Kluyveromyces lactis: one gene and its partner. The protein of the gene in region 2 interacts with the protein of the main gene of each other region in a biochemical or structural test. Links are inferred from orthologs where the notes say so. Each region holds a gene or a part of one and is shown on either strand. Other genes may lie near its edges. The genes, in order: TLG2 and VPS45.

Evidence for each region.
Region 1: the proteins of VPS45 (region 2) and TLG2 form a complex in vitro, tested with the Saccharomyces cerevisiae proteins (2 studies listed by BioGRID). The link is inferred for Kluyveromyces lactis from reciprocal best matches to the Saccharomyces cerevisiae genes VPS45 and TLG2.

Annotation. Positions count from the first base shown.
Region 1 is NC_006037.1:926,632-933,373, reverse strand, and holds TLG2 (t-SNARE syntaxin TLG2), read right to left. Parts: upstream 4,812-6,742; coding exon 3,717-4,811; downstream 1-3,716. Other genes in the region: MIC19 (Mic19p), read right to left, coding at 1-217; KLLA0_A10703g (uncharacterized protein), read left to right, coding at 1,659-3,497; ATP-dependent RNA helicase FAL1, read left to right, coding at 5,119-6,315; ATG31 (Atg31p), read right to left, coding at 6,369-6,742. UniProt on the Saccharomyces cerevisiae protein: t-SNARE that functions in transport from the endosome to the late Golgi and on the endocytic pathway.
Region 2 is NC_006041.1:1,665,696-1,682,739, forward strand, and holds VPS45 (Vps45p), read right to left. Parts: upstream 8,380-17,044; coding exon 6,646-8,379; downstream 1-6,645. Other genes in the region: BSD2 (Bsd2p), read right to left, coding at 1-226; SNF5 (Snf5p), read right to left, coding at 627-3,029; APM3 (Apm3p), read left to right, coding at 3,408-4,901; CTI6 (Cti6p), read left to right, coding at 5,228-6,568; TCO89 (Tco89p), read left to right, coding at 8,737-10,905; PAN2 (poly(A)-specific ribonuclease), read right to left, coding at 11,181-14,615; tRNA (34-2'-O)-methyltransferase regulator RTT10, read left to right, coding at 15,080-17,044. UniProt on the Saccharomyces cerevisiae protein: Essential for vacuolar protein sorting. Function in membrane traffic between the Golgi and the vacuole.

The DNA of each region.
Region 1 (6,742 bases), on a different chromosome or scaffold from region 2:
ACTGCAATTTTGTTTCGAATTCTTTTAAGGCCTCCGATTCCAAATCAGACAATTTCGCAGAGACCTTTTCCTGTAAGTATCTTTCTGCCTTTTGAGACCTAATGAAGTCCGATTCAGTTGAATTATCGATCTGAGCGATCAATTTGCTTTCGAAATTAACCGGCGTTTCCGGAACGTATACTTTAGTTTCGGCTGGTTTTGAAGGTTGGGCACCCATGGTTTAATGAACTATTGTATTGGAAAAAAGGTGTGTGCAACGGCGTTAACCTGGAGTTCTTTCGCAGAAGGACGGATCTGTCGCAATAAGAATGGGGTAATTGAATACGCTTCGAGGACGACTCTAAACTCTACAATTCTGGCAATAACGTACAACTTTCTTTAACATTTCATTGGTTTAAATTTTTCAGTATTTTCCTCAAAAGTTGAATAAGAGATGATATACAAATACATGTACATATATGTAGAGAGAGAAGACGAAGATGAAGATGAAGATATCAAACCTGACTATGGTGTCAAGTGCTCTTCACTTCATAGAATTCTGCCTCATGCCATATGAGGCCATTTGCGTTGGATCCACATACTAACTAACTTAATATTTAGCTATTCACGGGCCTTGTATGAATTTCTGTCCAGAAAAACAGTGTTTTTCACGCAACAACTGTCGGTATAGACACCTGCGATACCATCGAACGGTACTAGCTGTTCGTAGTTTCCCACCGCTTGATTGCATTGCATTGCATTGCATTCTACCTTTTCCTAATTCTTTCTTCCCCATGCGACTTGTACTTCCTAATGTAACTCTCCGTAGTATGCCAAAAGCCAAGTAACTCCTCTCGGTAGCCAAGTTGGTTTAAGGCGCCAGACTGTAATTTGAAAACACAAAGCAATTTGTAATCTGGAGATCGGGCGTTCGACTCGCCCCCGGGAGACTTATTTTTTTTTTTGAATCTTCTATGCCACAAAGAGAAAGAAAGAAAGGCCACACACACAGCCTTCACTGTGGACGGTATCGGCTGCAAAACCAGCCTTTCCACGAAACGGGAAAATTATGTCTTTTCCCTAAGCAGTATGATCGACCACAAGTACTATCCATATCATGGCAGATGCATATATGTGGTTTATATGGCAAAGCTGATATATATTTGTGCGATAGACACAGATGGCTTTCTTTGAGTGTGTAATTTACTTGTATAGTTTCTCCGTAAGTGTCCTACGGAGCTTGTTGACACAATATAGCAACATAGGGTGGATCAATCGACTGTTTTCTGTCGTTATCTTTCTGCAGCCTTTATCGCATTTTTTTTCTTTTGTTCAAGATTTAGATTTCGACTCGAAATCTCCATTTACTATTAAAAGAAGTCTTCTTCAAGCAACACTCGCTGGTTTGTTTAAAGACAGAGACTGGTTAAAGACGCGTTTCATTCGAGAAGTTAGCCGAATCTTGTTGCCTTTTGCACTCTAATTACAATTAAAATTGGAATCATTGTCAAATAATAACTAATATTGTGGTATTCAGTGGAAATAGTGGTGTCTGTCTTTTCCCCCATTTTGTAGATAACGTTTTGTGTCTCTCCGCTGATTTCAACTTGGAGGAGTTAAAAGGGCTCCAGTTTAATATCTAATACTGACCTTATACTCAGTATACTGATATAAGACGAATGGCCAAGAGGTTTACGTTCGGGTTTGCAACCCTTTTGTTTTTCCTGCAGTGTGTGGCATTAGCCTTTCTAATTTTGGCGTGTGTTTCTGCACCGGTTTTCGATAATGTCAGATTGGCAAGTTTCGATGGGATCCATTATGGTGTGTTTGGATACTGTGAAGATGACGGTGGTTCATGTTCTTCTGCTCAGGCGAATTATCACCCGGAAAATTTGGATGACGATGATTCGAATTGGAAGATGAATAACGATTCGAGAAAAGCCTTGGGTAGTATCTTGATCGTGACACCAATCGCTGCTGGGTTAACGTTTTTAGCATTGGTCACTAGTTTCCTATGCCAATTCAGGTTCTTTGATTCGAGCACTTTCTGGTTTGTTATGAATTTCTTGTTCTCCATCTTGGCATTTTTATCGTCTGCTCTTATCTGCATCGTGGTGATCCTTTTGTTTTATCCTCACGTTACGTGGTACTCGTATATTTTAATTGCTTCTGCTGTGTTGAATTTGGTTTGCTTGCCGTTATGTTTCTTTGCTCGTTCTCAAACGGCTTCTAATAGTAAGAACGGACTTGTCGATGAAGAAGATGAAGATCGTTCTTCAACGTCTATCAGAGACAAATTTTATAAAGAAGAGTTTAATCAAACAGAGGTGACTAATTTAGATGCTCCATCCATTCCGGATTATTATAAAGGCTCGAAAATCGTCACCAGCAACACTTTAAACTCTAATACTATCACTGACTCAGATGTGCCCTCTTCATATATGAACAACGGCAGTGTTGCTGCAACAACAGCAAACACTGCCGTAGTACCACCGCAAGGACTAGCAACCATGGCAGCAGCAAATAGTTATCAAAGACACAGTAACAATAACGATGCCACTTTGCTTCATAATGCTGTTCCAAAGCAGCCGTACTCCGCTATTAACCAAAGTGGTACCAATTCAAGTATGAATTCCTCTTCTAGGGCTTTGTCTTCTGGTAGAATTACGGCACCAAACAATAATTACAGCCAGCAGAATTTCTCTCAGATGGGAGAAATTGGTTCGTTGGCTCCATCATCAGTTTATGCTGAACACATAGCCGGTGGTAGTAGTGGGGTAATAGCATCAGACCTTCAACAGGGCAACAATAGAGGACAGTCACAAGATGAACTCACACAACCTCCAAAGACTCAACAAGACGTATTGCAGGATATTATCAATGGCGTCTTATCCGAGGATGAAGAAGAATTCTTGAAACAAAATACTGTTGATCCTAGTGAAAGACCTGCAATGGACACTTTTGATGATGATGGAATCAACGACGATGACTCTCAGTTCACATCGGTCTCTCAAAGAGGTATCAATCCAAATTACTACCAGGGAAGAGGTGGTGTACAGTATATCCCTCCTACTCATGGTCCACTACAGAACCAATTACAAGGTCAAGTACAAAATCCTGCTATGGCTCAAGGAATGGTTCCAAATGGTATGCATCCTACGCAACCGCCAGTTGTCGGGGGACAGTATTACCCTCCACTTCCTAACCAAGCAGGTCCGCAACAAGGATACTACCACCCTCCGCCACTACCAGTACAGCAACAACAACCACAACAACCACAACCTCCGTATTCGGCTGGTCCGTCTGCATCAGATTTCTTATTACAATCAAACCCTGAATTCTCCATCGGAACTGGTCCAGCATCATACGGAAATAGCCAAAGGAGTGCAGGGCTAAACTCCGCACCAGCATCTTCAATGCACTATAAACCTGCTTATAGGAAAAGGCTCCCAAGAAAAAATAACCTACCTCTGCATCCATGTCAAGAGACAGTCCCTATGGAGCATTTTAAGTTCTGATTGTAATATTCATACTGAAACCACTCACTTTTTAAACAAATTTATTCTATTTACTGTAACAGATAATATATAGACCTCCTCTCTAGTTAACTTTTTTGAACCTTTCTACTGTTACCAATTCGACAGTGGTCGTTTACTTCTATCACGATATCAAAATTTGTTTTCGAAGTTCGATGCAGTTTCTCCATCATAAGCAAGTTCATTAATATTTGACCATTTTTATTCTACATTACTTTCTGGATCCAGCAACGGGTCTCCATTAGGAGAATTGACCTCCACTTGTGATCCAGGAGGTTTGTGAGATTTTGAAGGAGCTGATTCTCGTATAGTATGGTGATGAGGTTTCAGCATGACAAGGAGGAATAACGCTAGAACGACCAAAGATAGAAATAGAATAATTTTACATTTTTGACTCCGTTTTTGGTAGTGCGTTGCCTTGTCTAACTCCTTTTGGGCCTGCTTTAATTCAATAACCGTGTTTTCTAAGTTATAATCGATCCTATCGACCACTGTACCTTGATCTATGATCAAAGACTGCATTTCCCTGAAAATAGTACTAACTTCGAGTACACCTTTCGCTAACTGTGTAATTTCCTCATCTCTTTGTTGCAAAAATTGCTGATTGTTATCCTGTAACTTCTGATTCTGTTTTTGTAAAGTCTGCTTTGAATATGAGTCGATGTTATTGACTTCATCTCCTTCAACTTCTTCCTCCAACAACATCAATGTATCGTTACTTGATTTCGTAGTGGGTAGTGGTTTGAAATCATCTTTATTCAAAAACTTCAAATGATTATTCTGTAATATTCTGAACTTCTGCGATTTGTCTTGCACTTTCAAAGCGTAGTTCTTTTCTAGGTTATCCAATATCCTTAACTCGTCCTTGCTTAGCTGCTTACCATTCGAATATTGAGAATCCTTAATTCTCGTAAGAGTCTTGATAACACCAAAACATTCTTGGAATCTCTTAATTACCTGGAAACTTATCTGCTCAATCTCCTCCTCATCCTGCTTATTGTCCTGGAATCCTGGTAAAGAGTTCTTTTGATATAGTTTCGTCAACTGTAGCAACAATTGATCTACTGCAGATAACGACTCATCCACTTGGAACGTTAAATCGAAAAATTTTGGCGGTAATTGACGGGAGAAATCATCCATAGCAACCATATCTTCATCATTGTTACCATCGTCACTACCAATGAATGGCTGGTTCTCCAAATCTTTATTCGATCGTAGATGCTTGGTACTCGAAAGCCTCTGATGGGGGAAAGTTCTCCTATAGGATAAAAACAAATTAGTTCTATCACGAAACATGGTGCAGTTCAAAAGCAAACAAGGGAAGAAAGCACGCACTACCACTAATCTGATCTAAATAATCACTAGATCGAGCCACTCGACCAGTTGTTCTGCAGTTATTTACATACACTTGTAATTTGACACCTTAAAGTGTTGTTGAACTTTCGGTTCTCAGCTTAAAACCTTTAAAAAATGGAAAATTTGGCAAGCACAACGATAAGATGAGATGCGATGAGATGCATTGAAATAGAGGCTGCAACGGTAGGTCCAAGTGAAGTGTAACCGGGAGTTACTGTTGTTAAGAAAGGGAATCATCACATCAACAATGTCGTTCAACAGAGATGATGACTCGAAGTTGAAGTTTAAGACTTCAAAGAAGCTCAAGGTATCTGCCACTTTTGAGTCGATGAACTTGAAACCGGATTTGTTACGAGGCATATATTTTTACGGCTTTGAATATCCATCATCCATTCAGTCTAGAGCCATTTCTCAGATTATCTCAGGAAAAGATGTGATTGCCCAGGCACAGTCTGGTACCGGTAAGACGGCCACATTTACCATTGGATTATTACAAGCAATTGATTCTAAGAGCAAAGAGTTACAAGCATTGGTCTTATCACCAACAAGAGAACTAGCGAGTCAAAGTGAATCTGTGATATCTAACCTAGGAGACTATTTGAACGTTACAGCACATGCGTGCACAGGAGGTAAGGCCTTACAACAAGATATCAAGAAAGTATCGAAAAATTGTCAAGTGGTCAGTGGTACACCGGGCCGTGTACTAGATATGATCAAGAGACAAGTATTGAACGTTAGAAACTGTAAGATCTTAGTTCTCGATGAAGCAGATGAACTACTCGGAGAAACTTTGGGGTTTAAACAACAAATCTACGACATTTTCACCAAGTTACCACCGACGATTCAAGTCGTGGTGGTAAGTGCTACAATGAGTAAAGATATATTAGAGATCACCAAGAAGTTCATGAGTGACCCGGTGAAGATATTGGTTAAGCGGGATGAGATATCCTTGGACGTGATAAAGCAATATTATGTGGATGTAGAAAAGGAAGAATGGAAGTTTGATACACTCTGTGATCTATACGATTCGTTAACGATAACACAATGTGTGATATTCTGTAATACAAGGAAAAAAGTGGATTGGTTATCCAGGAAGTTGACACAGACGAATTTCTCTGTGTCCTCAATGCACGGTGACATGAAACAGGAAGAACGTGATCAAGTGATGAATGATTTCAGGAGTGGAAAAGCCAGGGTGCTAATATCGACAGACGTGTGGGCTCGTGGTATCGATGTCCAGCAGATCTCATTGGTGATAAACTACGATATACCAGATAATCTAGAGAACTATATCCATCGTATTGGTAGATCCGGACGGTTTGGACGTAAAGGTGTTGCAATAAATTTCATCACGAAGGAGGAAAGACCCAAATTGAAAGAGATCGAATCGCACTATAGAATTAAGATCAAACCAACTCCTGCAAATTTAGAAGAGTTGTCGTGAGACTATGGGATATATATATATATATGTATGTATAGATATACATATGCTACAATTTACGGAGCTATGGAATCGAGTAGTTTCCGTATCTGAGCGTTTCGCTCATGGTACAGCTTAGACAGGTTATCTAAACCAGAAATATCAGTATTCTGACCCAAATCTGCACTTAATTCGTTCATGACAGTGAGTGATATGCAATTATCTCTTGGGTTTTGATCAAAAGCTAGTAACTGCCACCGTTCGCTAAGCATTTCTACATTGTTCACCGTGCCAGACGGCTCACTATCTATAATGATGACATTTTCGTAATCTAGTTGATCTTCGTCGTGCTGGCTCGGATCATCATCTTCGAATATGAAGCTGATATTATTTAGGAACCAAGTATTCTCATCCACAGTATACGAATTCTGTTTCTGTCCGAGTAATCCCA
Region 2 (17,044 bases):
CAAAGTTCAAATGTTGTTGGAACTGCCCATTCATCTGGTGCAGTCTAGAAGACGACGAAGTTGTCCCTGTTTCCACATCATCAGCTCTTGAAGATTCGGTTTCTGGCTGTGTTTGCAGCTGCGACTGCGATTGTGAAGGAGACAAAGTCACTGAGGAAGATCCACCGACTTCATCTTGGCTCCTGCCAACGCCACTTCCGGCTACGAATTCCGAATGCTCAGACATACTCGCCGCGTAGATAATCTCAGTAAACTCTACTACCCTCGAGTAACACTCAAATATGGCTGCTTTGATGAGTTTGTGGCCTCTGCATACCAAGTTTCTTAAAAGGGTTGGTTCGTTCAAATGTTAACGTTTCCATTACTAAATATATTTTTTGGTTTTGAGCTGTTTATGAAATTTAGAGGCTTACACCATAAAGAATGAAACAGGCACACATAAATATCGATATACGTAGAGGTGCGTGTCAAGACCCTCGAGTAAGCCCGCGATCATCGGCGTTCGGTCTCTCATAGCTATCTTCAGTGCTCTTTCTTCTAGCTTATTTATCATAGTATTTCTTAAAATTGTTACAGGTGGTACCACATAAATACATATGTACATATATATATATATAGCGAATTACTCATTGAATGGTTGTCTTCGCCTTTGGTAGCTTTATAGTGACGAGTAAAGATTTCCCAACGTCGTGCATAATAACTCTGCATGCTGATGAGTTTCTTACTTCCTGTTGGAATTCTTGTTTTGGAGTTGCTTTAGCTCTGTCTAAATATTCGACTCTAGTTGATGGCTGGAACGATAACGTACTTGGACCAACATCAATACCTCCAGGCAAAGTTGTTGTTGGAAGTAGTTGACGGCACGTTTTTGGGATATCCCCAAGATCAGGAAGTTCTGCATCATGGGGTAGTTGCGGTGTACTTCCGGACGATGGGTGATTTTCTGTATTGCCTCTTCTATTGAAACGAACTTGTCTACGTTTCCTTCTAGTGTCTCTGTCCTTATCCTTAACCAAACGTTCTAGTTCTGCGGGAGATATCTGTAATAAGTTAGGTGTGTATAAAAACGTATCCTTTTGTGGTCTCATTACGTCTGCTAAGGTGAGTACAGGCAAGAATCTTGTTCTGATATCGTCTTCTTCAACGGGGCTACCGTCAAATTTGTAACCAACCATATATAATGACTTGTGATACATGTGAACTTGTTCTCTAATGCAATGTGCAATTGCTGTTAAGAATTCACCCGGAAGGGATAGTTCTTCGCATAAACACTCCGCGAACGATTCTGGACAATTATCTGGATTTGACACATCCCATTCAACGGTATCTATCAATTGATGTTGTCCAACGACAATATCTAGGTTGATTTTTATTCTGAAATCATCGCCCCCGAACCTCTGCACATTTTCAAAAGGATTTGGAGTATATTCTTGAAGTTGTTCTTTGATACTATTCACAATCTGTTGATACATCTCCGTGGTGACTTTGAGCCTATAATCCTTCAGCGTTGTTTTCACAAATTCGTTGATTGACAGTAGCGTGTCTGATCTGTTCCATACGAATGTGTCCCTCAAAGTAAATTTATCCTTTTCTGCATCAAACTCTAATCTAACAGGTACTAGTTCCTCCCCTGTTTGATTCATTGTCCATTCATATATTTCGTCCAAGTGCATTTCATAAGTGTCATCGACTTGAATCCTTGTGAGATCGTTACTGAAGCCATTTCCATATCCAGAATAACCGTCACCCCATATACTCTTAGATTTATGTCCTTGAGTTGTGTTGGTAATGGATTGCATTCGACTGTTCCTCAATTCTTTGTAATAATCAAGATCTTGCTGTAATCTCAATATTACCTCCCTCTGACTGAATCCGAATTTGGAAATAGGTTCCAATCCATTAGTGTCCGCCAACAAGTTGTCCTTATCCAACAAATCCCGTTCAATAACATGTTCATATAATCTTGTATCAAAACTCACAGGCTCGTTATCAGCTCTTTCTTTCTCTGACCATAACCTAGTATGAGGTAATGGAGTCTCAGGTGGGTCTTGAAGAATAGTTTGGAATTTGGGAATATCAGGAAGTTGTTTCTGAAACTTCTGAAGCACTTGCTGTAGTATTGCAGCTTGTGATGGTTGAGGTGGCTGTGGTACTGAAACTGGGACTTGTTGTTGTTGTTGTCGTTGTGGTGGTTGTCGTTGTGGTGGTTGTGGTGGTTGTGATTGTGGCTGTTGTGACGAAGGAACCATCGATTGATTACTGTTCATAACTGGTATATTCTGAGTTATAGGTTGACCTCCAATCATTTGTTGTGGATTCCCCATTTGTTGCTGAAGTGGTATACGAGGTTTCTGAGGTTGAGGCTGTTGAAGCTGCGGTTGGTTAGGAGGAATAATGTTGCGTGGCGGGGATTGATGTTGTTGCTGCTGAACAGGTTGTTGTGGTGGTACAGGCTGTTGTTGCTGTTGCTGTTGCTGTCTATGTTGTTGCTGTAATTTGACTTCAAGCTGAGTGATCATCAGAAGAGCGTTCTGGTTATTTCTCGCAATAGCCTGTTGTTTGATGGACTGAAGCCATTGCATTTGCAATGCCGGTGATAGTTGTGCAATTTGTGGAGGAAGATTCAAAGAAGTTCGTTGTTGAGATTGGGGAGGAGACTGCTGCTGTTGCTGTTGAACCTGCTGTTGTTGCAATTGCTGGGCTTGTTGCACCTGCTGAGCTCGTTGCTCCTGTTGCTGCTGCGTCTGAGATCTCTGCATTTGTTGTTGTTTGAGCTTCATTAGCTGCGCACGCTGAGCAGCATCCAATTGGTTCATATTACCGGGAGAAGAAACCTGTTCTTGCTGCATCTGCTGTGCTTGTCTTTGTCTCTGCAATAACAACTGTTGATGTTTCTGCTGAATCATCTGCAACTGCGCTGGCGTCAAGGATTGTAGGATATGTTGTGGAACCTGCGAAAGCGAAAAGGAAGGCGTCCCTATGTTACTCAAAGGGTTCGCATTGCCAGGATTCATTGGTGGGTTTGACATTCTCCTTTCAGCTTATATAGAGAAACAAAACTGCAACTAGTGTTTTCAATTGCAGACAGAAAGGGAAACACAGAAGGAAACTAGTATATTCTTTCTTGCGATAATTCTCAACCAAATGCTGTCAAATATACCCTTTCTGAAGCCTACCTGAAAGGTGTTCAGTTCCCTTAAAAACAAGAATTTCTTGTTGATCTTTAAAGTTTGTTGTTGGTCTTGTTCTTTCGTTCTTTGAATTCATGAAATTCACGAAATTTTGATTAACGATTAAGAGAAGTACGAGATGGAACAACCTAATGAAAAATTAAGGCAAGCAAACAGGATACAGCGGGTTATCCGCATATAGTTGGTTATCATAGTGAACTTAAGCAATTGGCTACAATGATTGTTAGCATATATGTCAATGATAGGTGCCAGGAAACGCTATTCCAGTACTCAACAGTAGCAGAGTGCCCTACTTTTCGGCAACTAGTTGTTAAACTACAAGGTAAAGACGAATCATGGGAGTCTAAATACTGCAATGAGATAAATTCTGAGTTGAAGCTTTGCAGACACGTTTCTTTGCTGAATCCAGTTGTTTATTGGTGTTTAATTTCGTGTTCAGAGTCCACAGTTTCCGTGGTATCTTTGTTAGAAGAGATAGATTTACTGTTGTTACAATATTTCGATAAGGACCAATTAACGAAGCAGAAGATAAATAATAACCTCGATCGATTATCGATGCTTTTCCATTGTATCCTTGATGCTGGGCAACCGGTGATAACAGACTCGAACCGTTTAAAGGCAATGGTCCCAAGTAGAAACGATTTATCGAAATTGTTGAAGACGACAACCAATACAATTACCAAGACCTTACAACAACCGGACGGGTCAATGTTTAAGAATGGTCCGGAAAAATCAAGGTTTAGTGGCAGTAGATATCCATCTTCATCCGCTTCATCCGTTTCCTCGTTCCACGTTGGGTCTCCTGGCTCCTCGTTAGTTGATCATTCCGTTGATGAATCTGGTGTCCCATGGAGAATGAGCGGCATCAACTATGCTAATAACGAAATATTCATCGATATGAGTGAGGAAATTAACGCTATTGTGGAAAAGGGGAAACTGTTAACCGGACATATCAAGGGTTGTATCGACTTAAACAACCATCTCAGCGGACAGCCATTGGTTGAGATGAAACTTGGGCTCTTAGACCACAAGCTTAGCCACTTAAACACGACTTTCCATAGATGCATCTTAGAGGATAAGGCGAACAGCATAAATGATTTAATCGCTGGGAAATTCACTAAGCTAACGTTTGTACCTCCTGATGGACGTACTAGGCTCTGTCAATATACCCTACCGTTGGTGAAAAGAGACTCAAACCTCGGCATTATAGACGTAAATTTACAAAGCAGTTTAGGTAAAAGACTTGACGAATTTGAGGTCCGCGTCACCGTTGGAATGAGCACGACGGTGAAAGAAATAGAAAACATGAGCATGACTATCAGGATGAATAGAAATTTTAAGGGAATAGTACGTGTCATGAGAAACACTCACGGCGGTGTCGAAACAAATATGACTCGTGGCGAAGTTAATTGGCATTTGGACAAAAACATGGTATGCGGTTCAATGGCTGTACTACGTTGTATAGCGGAACTGGAACCCGAACTCGCCTCCAATGACCAAACATCTAGTAGATCTTCGGTTGTTCAACCACCTAGTTCACACTTAACATCCTTACTACAACCTAGTTTCATCAAATGTTACTACGAACACAAATCCCAGCTTCCCTCCGGAATCAAACTTCAATCAATCGACGTAGTTAATGGAGGTCCAAAAAAACCGTTCAAAGGTGTTAAGTACCTCACAAAGACTGGTTCGCTAGAGTATAGGTGATGATACGTTAAATGGTTTATATATATGTATGTATGTATTTATGTATGTGTTTGGATCACGTGATATTTTTGTTTTATGTACTTTTCGAACGAGGAAAAAGTGTTCCAACTGATTAAAGACTTAAAAGGAATAAGTAGAGCCACCTTGGATAACAGATGTTTTAAAGTTTCTATGTATGCAATGCGGAGGGCAAGAGTGAATTCCAGAAGTTTCAGGGCTGTTCTATAGTGCCATTTTTACTGATCTCGACATAGAGCGGTTAATTTGGGCGATTTGCAGCTGATATTTGACGAATAATCGAGAAGAGGGGATCTTGAATCATAGCAATGAAGCGAGAAACGAGGGACCGTGGAAGGACGGACCTTGCACCAGAGAAGTATGTAGAGGACTCTGATCCAGAGCCTGAGGATGAAGGTGAGACTCGGTGTATTTGTGGGAAAATTGAACCGCCAGATGATTCGGGTCTTTATATTCAATGTGAACAATGCCATGTTTGGCAACATGGATATTGTGTGGGCATATCTGAGGAGGAAACTCCGGATAAGTATTGGTGCGAGCAGTGTAAACCAGAGCTACACTCGCTCTACACAACGGATCTTGGTGAGAAGAGGTCAATATACAAGCCAATTCAGCAACGCCGTAGGAAAAATAGAAGGTCGAAAAGAAACTCCGAATCGGATGGAGAAGTATCAAACGCTGGAAGTTCACTAGAGAACCAATCTCCTTCTAGCTCAGTGGTTAGTGGAAATATTGGATCTCAAAGATTATCTCGGCAAAGGAGAAATAGTAGTAATGTTGAATTATCGAAGGATGAAGGTGAAGATTCTATTGCGGACTCCGGAAATGGTGAAGATAAGGATGAAAATATTCCCAAGCGCGAGTTTGATCCAATTGATGAAAATCAAAAGGTTGCAGATCGTAAACGTGCTACATCCAGTGCCAGGGAAGAGAAACATTATCAACTTATGCTAGAGAAAGCCCTACGCGAAAGCAGACGCTCTTCAAAAGATGGCACCGATCCCGAAGACCAAGATATTTTGAAGGAAGAAGAGGCATCAGGGAAGTCCGCCTCACCAAAGAATTACACTAGAGATACGGAATCTCCAGAAGTGGAAGGATCTGAAGCTGATGAAGCAGCTAGTCAATCAAGAAAACGAGCTAGAACGACAACAAAATCTACATCGCCATCAGGTTCCGAAGATGACTCCAAATCAAAAAGATCAAGAAGAGGTAAGAGCAATGGTTCAACCACGCAAAGTAACTCAAGGATTTACAAGACCTCAAGTGGAAGAGTTGCAAGGAATTCTAAAGCTAGCAGCTCAAAAGGATCGGGTTCCTCTGGAAGTTCAAACTTGTCGAAATCTAATGGACAATCTAATGATATCGGAATCAACAAGCCTCTAAAACCCAGGATTCCCTCTCAGAGGACCACTATGCATGAAATGAGAAGAAGAGTTAACGCTATTCTGGAATTTATCTCAAGGACACAGTTAGAAATATCTAATGACCAACGTCAACGGGATCAGTTGTGCCAGTTTGTGGAAAACGAAGAATTCCTGGAAAATATTAATAAAATATTCTCCAGTTACGACGAATCCTTCAAAACGATGGATGAGCTAACGAGGAAATTACTGCTTTGGGAGCAAAAGTTTAGTCCAGCTTCTTAAAAGCATGATAGAGAGTGTTCTTTTCTTGTTTCATACATTTCCTTACCTAATTCTACATCTGAAGTACATACGTAAGTTCATAATAAGTCAACTGGTTTATCATTAACGGCGCAAACATCTGTTAAAAATTGCTCTGTAGAAATAATCGAGGTTCCTCCAATGATAACTCTGCAATTGTCCTTATTTTTACTCTGTTTCTCATTGAATTGATGTACTGCGCGCGCTTCTTCTATAGTGAGGCCTCCGACGATCAATATAACAACATCTTGTGGCATATATGTCTTAGGGTCAATATTTTGGTTTAAAAGAGTCACTCCCTCTTGTGGGAACTTGTTTTTATCCAAATCGCTGAGAAGTGTTGTCAATTCAGGAACATGTTGCATAAACACATTTTCAGCGCTGGTGCTGCCTAATCTGTTGAATTTCTTGGTTAATCCACTAATCAAATCATTGTCCTGAGGAGCTTTGTGTTTATTGAATATTGACCCAAATCTCTGTTTAAATTGAAAGTAAAGAGAAATTTGTGTGGGATCACACTGTTGTCTTAGAATATTCTCCAACTCAGAAACTCTAGATTCGTTCTTGCCGTGTCGTAGAACAAAAATGCAGCATAATTTTAATTTGTAATATGATTCTAAGGTTGGTAAGTTTAGAATTCTCTTCAGTTCTACAAAGTCATCGTTATTGTCATCATGTGAAGAGAGGTTTTGCTCTAGCTCACTGACTTCCCATATATTCTTCAGTTGTAATTGCCTATCTAATTCACTAACAATGGCCATATGTTTTGAAATGTTGCCTGAGAGTTTCTTAAATTCGGGGAACTTTTCGATGAACTCTTTAATATCTTCTATCGTATTGATTTGTTTGGTAATGTTGGTCTTATTTTTATACTGAGTAACATAGTTCTTCACCTTATCTGCCAAATCACCAAAATTCATATACATTGTTTCTTTGAAGAACTTATCTTGTTTTGAAGAGAGTACAACCTGCTTCAAATCGGGATCGATATTTGGTACATTCGAAAGGTCTACCAAGTTTCTTTTTATTCCGATATATTCATTTATCATCGATTGATAGGTCCACGGTTGAAGTAATGGTGTCAATGGATCCGATTTCCTGTCAAGTAAAATTAGTAACGGATTCGAATCTCTGACGGGAAAATCAAATAACTGCCTTTCATTTGTCTTAATTTCATACTCTAAATCCTTAGCTAACTTTTGACACAATTTGCTATCCGAGTCATACGCAATTGTCGGATTTAGTTTTAACGATAGTAGCAATGAGATTAACCCGTTAGACGTCTCCTGCAATCCCTTTGGATCCCATACCAATTGATTTTGGAGAAGATTGTACAACGGGATCTCTAAAGTGAAGACATCCTCGTTCACAATTAGGTAGTCTTGGAAAACTTCTTCTACATGTGTGACAACCTCCATATCATCTCTTTCGGCTAACCGTTCCAACTGGGACTTACTCACCTGGTTATTGAAGAAAATCTGGTATTCGCCATACTTGGGATCCTGTAATTCGTGTAATAGGTCTTGAATCGTATCCTCAGTGGGTTTCAAATAGCATAAACATTTCAAATGTGGCATTGGATCTCTGTGAATATTCTCAAGTTTATCGACCAAGTAAATCTCGTGCTTTAATAGCTCGGTTTGAGTAGTACACATCGATATCGTAGAGAGTGTGTCATTATCCAAAATCAATGCCTTTACTCTCGACTTCTCCTGTATCGAGGTGTCCGACGGTTTGGACTGGAAATTTGCGATTCTGCTGATATAATAATCACCAACCGTAAACAAATTCATTACGAAAAAGTGCTCTATCCTCTCAATTTCAAAAGAACTTGGATATCTTAATTGCTGATTCACCGTTGGCACGCGCTACAGCAGCCTTAATCTACCGTTTCTCACTGCTACTTTGTTCCATGCAAAAGTTTAAGGTCATTTCTCCTTTAATACTTATTTTCAAAAAGAGTTGAAACTAAGATTCTGGCACACATCAATCCATCTTTGTTTAACTACAAACAAACACAGGAACAACAATCTTGCTATAGCCTGTGATTCCAAACTTTACATTTAGGTGGGAAATAGCAATTTTTCCACAATTCTGTACAGTCAAGGTAATAATTCTTAAGTTGAGGCTACTGGCTATTCTTTACAACAATGGCCACAATTTCCCGTGTGAAGCCTGTGAAGACTAATTCAGATACCAGTCTATCACAGTATATGAAGCAGAAGAAAGGACATGGAAAACCTAAACAGTTCTCTGCAAAATCTAGGAGCAAGAGCAACACCAGTTTCAAGAACTTACAGAAATTACACAAGGTAGGAAGCCACGATGCATTGAATAGAGGACTTTTCGATCCTATGAAGAAATCGAAGAGTTCGGACTCATTGAACAGACGCACGGTACACAGTGGTCTCAGTATGACGGCATTGGTAAGAACATCATCTCATCCAGTTGTGCTACACCAGAATAGTCACAGCATGAAGCATAAGGGCCTAATTAGTGATAGGAACTCCAAGTCCGTCATCCTAGATCTTCACGATTCTGGGGATAACGATTCTATGACTGATGAAGAGGTAGAGTCTTTCACCGATATAGAAGGAGATGATGCATCAGATGATGAGACAATAAATGGAACGGGCAAAAATTCAACAACTCAGAGGAACTCGATGCATAGCATCAATGATTTTCAGGACAGAGCTGGGTTAAGAGTGGATTCTGGTAGACCTCTACAAAGGCCATTGAGCTATAAACCACCGTCACGGCTTAGAAACAGAGTTGATGCAGATGATGATCATATTTCATCAAGAGCTGTGAGCCCAATGGATAATGACAAAATTGACGCTCCTGACAGGGAAGATGACCTTATTGACCCTGGCAATCAGGACACTATATCGAACACGAATAGTCTAAGACGCCACAGGCAACATATGTTTGATTTCAATAATGGAAACGGTAATCTGCAGAAATCTTATAATGTGGAAACTACGGAGCATGAGGATATTATAGCAGCGAACACTGCCGTCGATGAAGGAGTGCGTCGTTATACTGAAGAAGATATTATTGACGGAATTACACATACAGCAACAAACGAAAAAGCAAATGAGGATATTGGTAGTGATGATCCTAAGCGATATTCATTCGCAAAAGCTGGCGCTGTAACTGATGAACAGTTTCCTGAGGATCCCCATAGTAATGACAGTTCCTCCTCCAGTAAGAATGGCAATATGATTCCTGATAGCAACAACACTGCTCTGAATGGTTCTAATATCGACTCTGAAACACAAGGAACGGAACAATACGTTCCTGATATGATTCTATCTCAGTCTACCGGAATGGAAAGAAGATTTGATCAATTATCTCGTCAGAGTTCGTTAGCATGGCTCGACCCAGCCGAAAATAATAACGATAAATCTCTCAAGATACAGAATACAAAATCCAATAAATTTAACTATATCAATCAAGATTTGGCAGCTTCGTTGAAAAATGACAATATTGATCAGCCATCTCCTCCGCGCCATCAAGAACAGCAGCCGAAACAATCGAAGGCCGACTTTTCTACAGCTATATCCAGTTTAACCAGTCATTTGACAAGGCCCGTTTCACGCGACCATCTTTTACGTGCGAACACTGTATCTCAGTCACGTCCACGGCAGCAATCACTCTATCGGCAACCATCGTACAGTGAGAATGATACCAGCGGTAATGGCATGACAGATTTCTCGTCATTTTTGCAATACGGAGACGTCGGAACTGACTCAAGAACACAACAAAAGTTATGGTTGCAAAGAGAAAATTCAATACAAGATCTAAGCAGTCAAAACACCTCTCCTGATGCAGTGTTCTTGGCCTCGAATGTGGAGGTGAGAAGAGAATTTGAAAGAATTTCTAGAGAATACACTAATGTTAGAAGATTCTCTAATCCGTTGGCAGATTCTTTGAGCAGAATATCGCAACAACAAAGTATTGAAATACAAAAACAAAAGAAAATTAGCACGGGTGAGAACGCAGGAAGCTTCTTCGGAGTCGATTACGACAAGGGTAAATCATCCAAGGAAACTAACTCAACTGCCAATAAGTTGGAAATGCAACGTATGCTCACCAAACTTTGGAACAGCAATACATTAGAATTTAATAAGGACGAAAATCCTCTAGTTCAATCAAATCCTGAACTCATGACAGTGCAGCACCCCGGTACCTATCGAAACACCCGTCCATCCCGGATGTCCAGTTCTCAACATCAAAGAGCAGTAAACTCGTTGCATCCCACTACTAGGGCAGTAAATAGAAGAATGGAGCATGTTTTGAACCAACAGCATGTGTAAACAGAAGTATATATGCATTCACAAGCATTTCGGATATGCACTCGACATATTGTAGTATTTTCATCATTCTCTAAGAAGTTTCACTTTAAGATATAAACTTTAAATGTAACTTTCAGAATAAAAAACAATAATCTTAATGAATTATTGAAGCTATTTATCAAAATATAAATCGAACATGAGGTATTAGGTTGTCAAATAGTATCTTGTCATTTTCCAGATAGCATATATTCCGCACATTTATAAACGTATTATTTAGAAGATTTTATATCACTACGTCAAATCGTGTCAGGAACTTTGAAGCCGAACTTTCTTCCTTCATCATAAATGTTCTCTAGATACATTTCAAATACACCCTTCTCCTTTAGCTCCAAATACTTTCTATAAAGTAACAACGCAGTATGTGCGTCTTCGATGGAGTCATGATTTCCTGTTTGCACCTGTTTTCTCAAAACCGCGAACGCCAAATAACGTAGAGAAAGATATCTTTTCCCTTTTAAATAATACAACGACGTGTCTCTAATTTGAGATTCTGGGACATATATATTGATCTGTCTGAAATCATTGGTTAATCCATGTCCTACAAAAACACATCCCAATTGAAGTAGTAACCACATTTTTCTGTAAAAGACTTGTCTTTTAACCAAACTTTTTTTACTCAGTTTTGGATCCAAGTCTCCTGGCTCGATACCACTGAATTGGGTTAGATAATCCTCGATATGACACTCATTTATAATATAGTCATCAATGAATGGAACACCTTCCAACTCACCTTCACCTCTCAACAAAGATACACGAGCCAAAGACTTCTTAGCTGGTTTAAGCAAGGTTTTCATACCTTTACAATTGATTTCCAAGTACGGTTCTGTCAAAGACACGAATTCCGCGTCCAAGGCAACTAAGGTGCCCGGTCCTGGTGCTTCATCTTTAGTCAATAGTCTGTATTGTCTTATCACGTCTTTTCTAATGCCCTCACTGAAATAGTCACGATATAGGATGTCTGTGTCAACCTTTAATTTCGAAACTGAAACAAATGGCTTTCTGATTTCTTCCGCATCAGAATAAACAACAATTTCTGGTGTTTTCCACCAGTACGAAATATTTAAAGCCTCATCCTCATCAATTTCTTGTACCAAAAAGTCATTAAACATGTACCACTTGTACTGTTGTATTTTCTGATCCAAGATCTTAGCGTACGTGACCAAATGCTCCTCACCGAAATCGTCTGTGATTCTTGCGACATAGGACATTAATTCGTACTTGAAGATAGCATTAGACGTCTTGAGGTCAGTGGCCTGAAGTTTCAAGATGGGTCTATCCTTAGAGATTGTGGCAAAAAAGTGGTTTGACAACCATCCATTAACAGTTTTAGCAGTTGTCCATTCTTCTGGTGACAAACAAATATTGAGTGAAAGTAAAGGTGGTAAATTTCTGACTATGCTTTCGTATTCTTGATTTTGCAACTTCTCGCATTTAGAACATCTTGCTGTCAATTGCTTGAACCTGCACATGGATGATTCAATATACGGTAGAATGGTTTGGTTACTCAGTTTCTTATTGCTATATTTTACGTTGTTGCTTGCCGGACTTAAAACTACCAAAGACGACACGAGATGTGGCTGGCGAACGAAATTTCCGCAGGTAGATAATGTGTGAATTTCAGTATCCACATTAAGCCCAAATAATTCTTCTAACACAATCGCGTCAGTTGAATGCAACTTTCTTTCAACTTCTTCTGATATTAATCTATCAAGTAAGAAAATATTAAACTTTTGAGCCACAGTCATATATTTCCCATAGGACCTTTTCATTATTTCTTCTGCGTCAGCATCTACTGACAAATTCAAGTTATAGATGTGAGAGGATAAGTTCCCTTCATCTAAAGAGGGCTTGCCAGCATGCCCTGATACAGTTGAAATTTCGTCAGTAAATAAACCCAGCTCATTAGCCGTTGATATTGATTCAAGAACATCAACAAAGTTAGATGCTCGGCAAATTTTACCATTCGCTCTTGTCATCATATCAAACAAAAACCCAAGCTCGGTCAAAACAGACTTTTCTTGAATGTGTTCATCTTCCAAACAGTTCACTACAAAGTTGTAAACTTCAGGAACGAAACGGTACAAATGGATTATTTCATTGATATAAACACAGTCAATATCTGTTTCCAATCCCGAATACTGAGTTGTATTGAATCCACCAAAATCGAAATCCATTACTCCAAACTTCCCATATATCATTTGTAATTTGCTGTATGCTGGTGGGATATCAATGTTATTGGAAGGTTTATATTCTAGTAGTTCTTTCCTATGTTGATTATCTTCTGTCGTACTTACCATTTTTTTTCTTCTTTCCCTTAGCGACTTATAAGGCTCTATAACATTTCGAGGGCCATATTTGAATTTGTTGTACGGCTGTAATGAATACTTACTGCTTGACAAGTGAGAAAGAGACCTGTTAACACTCTTCGTAGAATTATTGTCGGTTTCTGAAGAACTGCTTCCTTCAATCTTTTTAGATATGATTCCTTCAGTTTTGAATACAGTGTGAGGCCATGCCGACAACAATGTTTCTGAGTAATAGGGTAGCCCAATTGAACTTAAAGGGTACGATTCCTGACCCACTTCGACTCTATATGGGATGAAACTGTCTTCGGGGTAATCCTGGTATTCAAGTACTGCAGCAGAGTTGGTAAATCCAGACATAGAGTTTGATCTGTTCCACATATTTATCATGCTTTCTTCTTCAAGAAAGGCAAGATAATCACCACTGGGAGAAAGCGTGAATTGGCTAATAGATTTGCAAGGATGGATGTATGGGGTTCGTAGGCTTGGATTGACCAAATCTATGAAATCGAAACTTCCCGAAGAAGACGCAACAGCCACGACCGTTGGCAACACTGGATGCAATTGTAAAAAGTCCGCACCTATCGGAAATTTGGACGATGTGTGATTGCCCACAAAATTAGGCGTTTTGGAAAAAGAGATGGGCGGTAATTGCTTCATTATTCTCACATCGTAAACGTTTATGAATTGATCAGACTGCAAGTAGCCAAACGTTTTTGATTTTCCCGCAGTTACCAAAGTATTATCTTTGAAATCCATCGAGGTAATTGATGCAGAGTGTCCCGATAAAGAATGTATCACCCTATTACTGACTGGATCAAATAAATCTATAGATCCCGCTTGCTTACCAATTGCCACAAGCTTGTTATTTGAGGACATGTGCTTTACCTTTGAAGTAAAGTATGTGCTTGATGCTAGTGTTCCTTTTATCAGATCCACAGATATTATACCACTGGCTGTATTACCACCAGCACATAGTACTTGATTTTGGTTATTGGTATAGTAACACATGGTCTTCATATCGGAAAGTTGTGCGATATCCGCTGAAGTTAAGCTCATCTGAGTGACACCCCTTCTATTAGAGAAATGTAAAGAATCGGAGCTTAGTGATAGAATACCATTTTTATTGCTTAAAAGGTCAACAACAGGCATTGAGCCTATATGTGCCGTATGTCTGGTATAAAGTGAATATGTCGGATCATATGATGATACGCGTCCGTAGGAATCTCCGGCCCATATTAGATTAGCCTCAGTATCAAATACTACCTTTGTTACTTGCTTTTCCTTTTTATCATACTGCAAATAGGGCTTCTTTAAATGATACGTCAGATCTTCTGGTGACTGATAGGAAAGTTGCCAATTGTTCATCACTGGTTACTATAGTTCAGTTATTTAGTAATCCCCTTTCATACATTCAAAAGAGCAACGGTAAGTATCTCGTACCCTAACAAATCACAGATGCACGGTAACTATAGTTCGCTTTTACCAGCTGAATTCCAATCGAATAACCTGAAAGACCTGTACAGGTACCGCTAGGTTTAAAAATTATACAGTAAAGTGTCTTTTACTCTGGTTAGTTCGGGATATACCTCGTCCCTGGCTGCTTTGTTCTTCACTTCACTCTATGTTTATGTTTGTTTTGACCTTTTTACATGGTTTTCTTAAAATTTTTCAATGTTATCGCTCAATGGACCTGGTAAAATAGAATGACATTAACGATGAGATGACCTTTTAATGATCGAGAAAAGTGGAACAGTGGAATTAGGGAACACTACAAGGACCTTCAGGGTTGATACCGAAATAAATAAGGATTCAAAGGGTAGTTGCATGTAATGCTACAAAAACTGAATCATGTTGGTCCCTCTCTGGCCGTAAAATTCTATGAGAAGTGGTGCTTATGTTCACAAGGTCCATTCATCGAGGTATTCGATTATTCGAATGGATCTAGCATTAACCGCTGTCATATTTTCCATAGAAACAAAGTTCATGGTATTAGCATAGATAAGACATCTGGAAATGTGTTGGTTTACGGTTCAAGATCCTTTTCAATCGTCAATATAAATGATCTCTTTTCGAAAAGTGAAGTGCTTGACCAGGAGAAAATGACTGGTGAATGGATCATGAGCGGTGAGTTTAGCTTCAATAAAGAAGAAATATATCTTTTAACCAGTTACAACAGAGTTCTGATCATCGATCCAGATAACTTCACTGTTAAAAGTACTCATTTTGTGGAAGGTGAACGGTCGATTTTATATTCTGGTTCCATAAAGGTTCTTCGCCATAAGGTTCTCGTAAATGCTGGAACAATCATGAATGGTATTATAGTATGGGAACTAGACTCAAAGAAGAAAATACACACTCTGCGTGGTCATGAAGGTTCTATCTTTTATGTGACTACTAGTAATAATGGGAAACTTCTAGCCAGTTGTTCTGATGACCGTTCCATAATTATTTGGGATATGGTTTCTGGAAAGCTTTTATCAAGGGCTTGGGGCCATACAGCGAGGATATGGAATTTAAAGTTCTTCAATGATGATACACAGCTCATCAGCGTTTCAGAGGATTGTACATGCAGAGTCTGGAACTACAAGAACGATGAATTAACTATAAAAGATATTTTCGAGAGTCATCTAACTAAGAATGTGTGGGGGGTTGATGTGGAGGAAACCAATCTAATTGCTATAAGTGGAGGAAACGATGGTCGGTTAAAAGTTACGGAACTTGTCCCGCATAATAGATCATGCAATATTGAACTTTCTCTGGAAAGCATCTCAGAACAATGCGACGGTTTCATTCATAAAGCCAATGAAATTGTAAAAGGTTTCCACTGGTTTGATTTTGGTTTAGTTTTAATCACATCGGAAGGTAACATACTTGAATACCTTCAAAATATAGAGGAATGGAAGTTCTTAGATTATGACGATCGATTTTTCAGTTTTTCTATTACCCAAGGAAACGAAAACACCATCTTCTTCATGAACAACAAATGCTTATTGACATCGTTTAAATTTGATAAATTCGGTTCTGTGTTGCAAAAAGTCGACTATGAACTAGAACTTCTTACTAAAACGGTAAACTGCTTATCAGTAAGACACACTGCTCATTTCTACCTTATAATTGAATCGCCGAATCCTAGAGACCCACTGTTGATGTTAAAATTCAACCATGGTTCCTGTGCTCCAACAGAAAGGTATACGTTTTCTAAACCTGAAAACATGATATCAAGTTGCGCAGAAGTTCATAATAATCGCTTACTGGTGGGTGCAAGATTCAGCTTGGCATTTATCTTCGACCTTGCATCAGAAACGAAACCTCCAATTGTGGTTAAAACTCAAGCAGCTGATGCAATAACTTCTATTAACTATTTGGAAACCACAGAGAATGATGCATTATTCTCAATGACTAACAGAGATGGAACTTATTTCTTTGTTGCTGTAGACTTCAGAAGCTCTGTGTACAAAACAATACACGCCAATAAAATTAGCCGAGGTTTTTTGGAAGGTTCATTTTATGATTCAAATGATGATTTCTTCGTCTACGGATTTAAGTCTAACTTGTTCCATATTTATAACGAATCCCAACAATATGAAGTATTCAGCCAACCATGTGGCGGAGCACATAGGCAATGGAAGCTTTTTGGATCTCAAGAGCAACAACAGGTGCTCTGTTTTGTGAAAAATTCTACCCTCAACATTACTAAGATACCCAAAGGCAAATACCCAGGAGCTTTAAAAAATGGAACTCATGGAAGGGAAATAAGGGATATCTCATTCCGAAAACGCTCAAACTATTGTAAG